Linked DNA regions of Oryzias latipes. The protein of the gene in region 2 interacts with the protein of the main gene of each other region in a pairwise test. Links are inferred from orthologs where the notes say so. Each region holds a gene or a part of one and is shown on either strand. Other genes may lie near its edges. The genes, in order: fkbp8 and zfyve27.

What was found.
Region 1: the proteins of zfyve27 (region 2) and fkbp8 interact in binary tests that used the Homo sapiens proteins (3 or more experiments, as listed by UniProt). The link is inferred for Oryzias latipes from reciprocal best matches to the Homo sapiens genes ZFYVE27 and FKBP8.

What each region holds. Positions count from the first base shown.
Region 1 is NC_019862.2:8,042,205-8,046,045, reverse strand, and holds the start of fkbp8 (peptidyl-prolyl cis-trans isomerase FKBP8), read left to right. Parts: upstream 1-993; 5' UTR 994-1,430; coding exon 1,431-1,462; intron 1,463-1,562; coding exon 1,563-1,813; intron 1,814-1,974; coding exon 1,975-2,144; intron 2,145-2,260; coding exon 2,261-2,349; intron 2,350-2,794; coding exon 2,795-3,015; intron 3,016-3,293; coding exon 3,294-3,466; intron 3,467-3,533; coding exon 3,534-3,611; intron 3,612-3,841. UniProt on the Homo sapiens protein: Constitutively inactive PPiase, which becomes active when bound to calmodulin and calcium. Seems to act as a chaperone for BCL2, targets it to the mitochondria and modulates its phosphorylation state.
Region 2 is NC_019859.2:28,354,354-28,358,269, forward strand, and holds the start of zfyve27 (protrudin), read right to left. Parts: upstream 2,248-3,916; 5' UTR 1,938-2,247; intron 1-1,937. UniProt on the Homo sapiens protein: Key regulator of RAB11-dependent vesicular trafficking during neurite extension through polarized membrane transport. Promotes axonal elongation and contributes to the establishment of neuronal cell polarity.

The DNA.
Region 1 (3,841 bases), on a different chromosome or scaffold from region 2:
TGAATAAATACAAACCAATTTGTATTTTTATTCTAAAAAACTAAAAACTTTTATGCTCTCGCGGCCCACAAAAAATGACATGGTAGGCCACATTTGCCCCCTGGGCCTTAAGTTTGACACATGTGGTCTAGAGTGAAGTAAAGAAATGTCTTTTGGGCTCATGACACCAAAAATACTTCCGAGTTCTTCCTTTGCTTAAAGTGAAAACTGCTAATAAGCAAAGTTTCCCGGACATTCTTGTTAAAAAATGTCCAATCGGCAGCACATCGGAGGCAGAAACAACACAGAGATCGTTTAAGCTTTAAAAGTAAAAATGTGTGAGGAAATCCAGGAAGAATCACTCACAGCTTTGATGACTAAACTTGCGTTTTCATCTTTCGCTATTCTTTGGTCACATTTGGATTTATGTGACACCAAAATCAGTTGAAATGTGTTTTATAGTTTACAGTCCAGAATGCAGCTGCTTCTTTTTCACAGGAACCAGAAAACATGAAGACATCAGAGATTTTACATTTCACCACCATCTGAAAGAATTTACAGGACTGACCAACAAGCAGTTCTCTGTTTTTCAAAGTAAAAGTTCTGTGCCAGCCACTGATTCTTTTACCACCCTTCAATCAGTGAAACACATTTATCAGTAAAACTCCTTTATTCATTTCAAATTTTTGTTTTTAACTAGTAACAATGTTTAAGTACATTATTTATTGTGTTTTTCTATCTTTGAAACTTATTTGGGCGAACTTGTCTGGTTCTTCGGTTCATCAAATGTTTAATAATGATTGGAACTGTGTGACATCAGGATCTAAAGCATAACAGATCTTTCTGCTCTAAAAGGTTCGCGTTTTCGTGGTGAAGGATGTTCTCCGTCGTTTCATGAGTGAGCACAGGGTGTTTTTTAATGGAACCATTAAGGGGGCTTTTAATCTGAAAGCAGAGAAAAGCTTCTTGAAACATTAAAGCGATGCAGAGTGCTGCTGCGCATGCGCGAGGATCTACCGCTGTGACGAAGTCAGCCTGAGTGTCCACTGTGGCCCTTCCCGTTGGCGCCGTGCGCTCTAGACTTTTCTATTCGCAGTCTAACTTCCTGCGTGAGCTTGAAGGATCGGGACGCGGCTGTTGGACCAAAACAAGGCTGGAGGTGAATGTTCGCGTTCTAATTTACAATTTTAAGAACTTTTCTGTGTGTGTTCCTTCGTTTGGAAGTGATTCTAATCGACGACTTCGTTTTGTCAAAATGTCAGTGTCACTAAAAACTCTTAGTTTGATGGATGCAAATAAGCTAAGCCGCTGGCTCATAGCTAGCTAACCCAGCCACCTTCAGCTAACGCTAGCATTAGCATGTAGGTTTTGACCGAGAAACCTCGTTACTTTTTAAAAACCCACGGAAACGTCAGGTTTTCTGAAGTTTGGAGTAAAACTGTCTGCATGCAATGTTGGGGAACTGTAACGGATATCCTGGTCGGTACGTTAACGTCAGATTCTGCTGTTTGAAGAGCTTTTCTGTGAAGCTCAGAGATAAGCGAACAGAAAACGAGCTTCCTCAGTTTGACTGTCTTCTCCAGAATGGAGACCGTGGAAGCTGCAGACGGCCGCGAAAACGCTTCTTCTTCTGCCAGAAAGAGCGGACAAACGTCGTTGCTGGACAGCGGAGAAGACTTCGAGGTTGTGGATGAAGAGGACTTTGATGAGGAGCCTCCTCCTTTAGAAGATGCGGGAGGTGGGATGGAGAAAAGTTCAGATGAGACGGCGAAGAGGTCTCCACATGAAGAACCAGAGGCTCCGGCTCAGCTGGATGAGTGGTTGGATGTGTTGGGTGAGTCTGGCACTTGTTTGGCCTCTTCCCGCTGATGTTTCTTGGAAGAGAGAACAGTTCTTCATTTGTCTTTTGAATCTGACAGGTTCTGGAAGTAGTTGTGAGTTCCAAACAAGCATTTGGTGGTAGTTCTTGACAAGCCAACAGTTCTCTCTCTGCAGGAAATGGCCAGCTGAAGAAAAAAGTCACGGCGCCCGGGAAGGGACGAGCCAGTCGGCCTCAGAAGGGTCAGAACGTACGGATCCACCTTAAAGCTAGCCTGATCGATGGGACTCTGGTGGAGGAGCAACCTAACTTCTCCTTCACTTTGGGAGATTGTGATGTTATCCAGGTAAACCCTTAGTGGTGATATATGTCAGGGTTAGCCCCAACGCTCAAAATTACGTCTGCAGGTCTTGTTTTGTGGATTTGTCTCCGGTCAAACGTCAGTCAACACTTTTCTTCCAGGCTCTGGATCTGACGGTCCAGCTTATGGAAATGGGAGAAAAGGCTCTGATCCAGTCAGATCCTAAATATGCATATGGAGACAGAGGAAGGTGGGAGATAAGCTACTCTACATCAAACGCTGCAAATTGGTGATATAGAGAATTTTAACCATCCTTTAGAAAGATGGTAGCAGAGCCCAGAGTCTGAGGAGCCTCCAAATGAAATACTTTTTATTTTACTCACAGGTGGTTTAGTAAGTGGGAGGGGCTTTTTGACACACGTGGTCAAAAAAGTCTTGACATGTCTCACATTTACATAAACTTGGGTCAATAAGACCTTAAAAAGCAAACATTTGTCTTTAATTCAAGAGAATCTGTGTCTTTTCCTGACATGGGGGTAAAGGAAAGGAATCACTGGGAAATAAACTGTATGGATCCCTGGAGATTCACAGAAACAGACTGACTATGCCATCCTTTTTTTTTTGTTGGGGGGGGGGGGCGCTGCTGTTTTTGCTTCAGTCACTAAACCTGCCTGTTTTTTTTTTTCTCGTGTCAGTCTTGAACCTCGTGTTCCTCCAAACGCTCAGCTGTCCTTGGAAGTGGAACTCCTGGAGGCCACTGATGCCCCCGATGTGGAGCTGCTGCCCCCCGCAGAAAAGATTGCCCTCGCCAGTCGTAAACGAGAGAGGGGCAACGTCCATTACCAGCGTGGAGACTATGCGTTTGCAGTCAACTCCTACAGCATCGCCCTGCAGATAGCAGAGTCCAGTTCCAAAGGTGAGACCTTCATGACGCCGTCCCGCTTTCCCGGCAATGAAAGCTCCTCCCCCTGATCATCTTGCGGTGACTGATCAGTAACTGCAACTTTAAACCAAACAATGACGTGAAAATCAAAGCCCTGCAGATGTGAATGAGTCTTCAGTGGATCTTTTTAGCTTTTTTGCTCTGATCTTAGATTGAGATTTATTTCAAACATGTGAAGCAATACAAAATAATAATAATAATACATATAAAAAGAAGGAAGTTTGATATTGTCGTTGTGTTTTGTGGGACAGTGGACATCCGGCCGGAGGAGGAGGACGAGCTGCTGGATGTGAGAGTGAAGTGTCTGAACAACATGGCCGCCTCTCAGCTGAAGCTGGACCATTACGATGCTGCTCTGAAGTCTTGCGTTTCAGCTCTTGAGCATCAGCCAGACAACATAAAGGCACTTTTTCGCATGGGCAAGGTTGGCCTCAGTCCCGGAGCTTCTTGCTGCTGCTGAATGTCTGCTAAATGGTTGTTCTTTCCTCTAGGTTCTCTCTTTGAAAGGTGAATACACAGAAGCTATTCAGACCCTGAGGAAAGCACTGAAGCTGGATCCCAGCAACAAGGTCATTGAACTGTTTTCTCTTGGCAGATTGTCATTTTTACATTTGGCCAGTAGGTGGTGCCACAACCTAGACTATGGGTTGCAGCAGGCCACGTGGTCTGCTGAGTCAACATATGTGGAGATCTGTTTTCATGTTGCTGCTGAAAATAGGTTCACCCTAAGGCTGGGCTAATGCCAAGCCAGTGTTTGCTTCTGCTTCTGCACTGGTTAAATGTGGTTCTGCAGCCATAC
Region 2 (3,916 bases):
CTCTGCAGCAAGGCTTTTAACAGGAACAAGTAAACGGACACACATCACTCCTCTGTTGTCTGCTTTACATTGGTTACCGCTCAAATTTCGAATTGATTTTAAAATTCTACTTTAATTTTTTAGAGCCTTGCATGGTCAAGCTCTGACGTACTTCTCTGACCTTTTAACCCCATACTCTCCGGCCCGATCCTTGAGGTCTTCCAACCAGAATCTTTTAAGCATTCCAAAAACCCGCTTTAAGACCAGAGGAGATCTGTCATTTCAAGCTGTTGCTCCTCGTCTTTGGAACTCCCTCCAATTGTCGTTGCGTCAGATCGACTCCGTTGAGTGTTTTAAATCTTAGGTCAAGACGTTTTAATTCAGGAGAGCTTTTAGTTGATTTAGTCCTAGTTTTACCACGTTTTACTGTGTTTTGTTTTACTATTATTATTATTGTATTTTATCACTTTTTTGTGTGTTGATATGATTTTATGCTCTTTGTAAAGCACTTTGTGACTTGCTCTGGGAAAAGTGCTATAGAAATAAAGATATTCTATTCTACTTTAGCAGTAAAGACCCACTGATAAAAATGATGTTTTTTGGCATTTTTAATGCGTTCTTGTGGCATTTTTTCTAAAGATGGAGGACTTAAACAAAAAAATAAGCCAAAACTGCATATGTGATTATTATTTAATTTAAATTCTAGCGAATCAGGATCAGACAAAAAAAACACTGTTTAAAAAAGTTTGTAGTTTGGACGCAGCAGCAACGATCAGCTGCCCACATCCACTAGCAGACAAATAAATCCACGCATTCTTCTTTTTCCTCGTTTGAGCTGGCATCTGGCTCAGAACTGCACAGCTGGATAGCTCCAACATTGTTTGACATCTTTGTTGTTAGGTTGGGGGTGTGAGGGGCTGTGAGCTATTGGGAGACCGTGTAAACAGAGGAAAGTGGGCTCGGGCTTACTCTGCAACAACATTCCCACCCACAGATCAGAAGTGAATTTTTAATGAACTACTGGCACTCTACAGAAACTATGTCCTAGAAAAAGATAGGCTTTTTGATTTTAGCTAAAAACTGTAGAATCTTAGTTGAGAGACCACTAGGAACACTTTTAAAAGAGATCAGAAGATGAGTAAATAGAAGTGAATTATTTAATGCTTTGCTCTGATTGACTGTAAAAATGGCAAATGTTATATGATTAAAAAAATATCAGAGTTGGACTTTCAGTCAAAATGGGAAGTAACAGATAAACCAACACTTCATTGACACTAAGAGATTAATAAAACTAGAAGACGATAAGGACAGCTTTTATGCCAAAGTCACAGAGAATTTTGTCTAGAGGGAGAAGTGTGTGGACTTCATTTACCAGTGAAGGTTAGACCCATGTGCAAGTTTAGTGTGTTTGTGAGAGAGCGTACATTCTCCATACTGTGTCTATGTTATGGGTTGTCTGTAACATTCAGGTGGGAGACTGAACCGCTATATACATACATTTTACATTCTTCTATGGCCCAATATGAACCTGCTATTTTTAGAAAAAACAATTCTGATGTGAGATATGCGTTTGCATGTTGGTTAATATTCATACCACTTTCCACACTTTCAGGCTAGTTAATCACTGATTAACATTTCTACTAGAGCTGTTTTTGTGGGGTCTTGCAGTTTTTAAGATGACTTTTTTGGGCTGGAAAACCATGACTCTCTGGCAACACTGGGTAAAAACATTTTCCAAACTAAGGGTTCGTTGATATTCTGCTCCCACAGAATGTGTACGAGAAAGTGTGTGTGTCCCTGTGTGTGTGACTGGCACAGGAGTGTTTTCCATATTCGACGCAAATCAGGAAGTTTCCGTGCCCAGAGCACTGGTACTTCCTGTTTCATTTTCTGCTTTCGTGAATCCCTGTTCACTCAAACTGCGACTTCATGAGCTGAAGATGAAGGGGGTCTCTTACCCAGAGCAGAAGGGGTCCAACCCAGACACGTTAAGATGCGGGGGGTATAGAAGTAGTAGCGCAGGCTAAGCTAGCGAGTCCCGACGGCCCCAGCTGCGCGGCGGGAGCAGAGGACCCGCAGAAACGACATGACCGCAGACTCCCCCTTGAAACCCGGAAGCAGCACAGAGCACCGCATGCGCGGGGACTAAACCAGCAATTTACTTTAGGGAGATTTTTCGACTCAGCGCAAGCTTTTCCCGAACACTCGCTTCCGGTTTGGTCCAGGCTAAACAGCTGATGACATTCATGGGCGGAGCCCAAATGAGACGATCCTAGAGCGCCTCGACCGGGCAGTGGGAACACAGTGTGTCGAGACAGACTCAGACTGACCCCTCTTCCCTCGCGTTCCAAATAGAAAGTACCCGCTGCCTCCTAGAAGCCAAAATCCCCTAGACGTCTATTGAGAAATAAACAGCTAATGTTCAGTCATTCTAAGGCAGAGACCGAGAGGAGGACAGCAGGATAGGGTGAGTAAGGATAAGGATGGTAATGTATTGACAGGTGTCAGTAGTGTAATGGAAAGATGGGAAGAATACTTGGAAGAGTTGAGAAAGAATAAAAGAGGTGACTGTTGTGGAGCAGGAATTAAAAAAGATTAATGGGGTGAAGTGAGAGGGGTCATTGAAGAAAATAAAGAATAGAAAGGCACTTGGTCCTGAAGATATACCTGTGGAGGTATGGAACATCACATTTTTTCAGGATATTTTTTTCTTTAACGTCAGTTATTCAAGTTTTAAACTAACCAATCAGATGCCTCAGTAAAACCATTTGGTGCCCGCTAGCCCCACCTCGGACATTTGATTGATAGATTCTCCTGAGCCACTTTTAGTGGAACAGGTGTGGACTTCAAATGAGCTTACTTCTGATTGGTGACAGCAGTGGCCCTATAAATTTGGACTCAGACCAATTCGGACCAATCACGGTCAACTGGCTCCAAATGAGGACACCCGTATCGCGGAAAAATGGCAACTGAATTGTCTTCATTTCACTGGAGCTGGAAGTAAGGTATTTTCTATGGGTGAAGTCACACCCAGCTGTGTCCAGACAATGGGATTTTTCTGATTCTTTTCCCCCCTCATTTTGTCTCTCATAGTTAAGGTTTACCTACGATTAAAATTACAGGCCTCTCTCATCTGTTTAAGTGGGAGATCTTGCACAATTGCTGGCTGACTAAATGCTTTTTTTGCCCCACGTTATATACAGACAATGAGTGGTATAGACCATTGTACATGTTCGAAATCTCTCCCTACTCTTTTAGTACTAGAAAACAATAAAGAGCAGGACAATCGTCTACATCAGTGATCCCCAACCTTTATTGCGCCACTGATCGGTTTGATGTCTGGCAAAATTCTTACGAACCGGTATGTTACATGTGGCGGACACATGCTGCAGCAACTCTGCAATAAAGGCAGAGACACGTGATAAGACGTACTCTGCACTTTTATTTTGACACGTTAAACATTGTACATCGCACAGGTGTCATCATCCTCTCCCCTTCCCACACTCATGGTGTAAACACAACAGGAAGAAATAACTAAGGGTGAAACAACATAACTGCCAGATAAAAGGACCCGTAGGCCAAAAGAAACACCGTGCTCAACCCTATTTTGACCAAAGCAGGCAAAGGGAATTGATTTAATTCTCTGTGATGCCATCTCCGACAGTAACCCCTGCAGCCTGCGGAACTCTGACAGCAGACCAAACGTGCACGTGACCGACACTACAGTACAACAAAATAATATGACTTGCATGCAAACTGTGGTATTTTCTAAACATAACAATAAACACGAATTATGACATGAGCAACGTCCTCTCTGCCGGCAACACTCCCTGGTCGCTATGATAACATTTAAACATGCCTTCAAAATAAGTGCATAGAAAATCCAACTCACCACAATGCTGAATGGTTTGAGGGAATCTCCCGTTGGGATAAATCT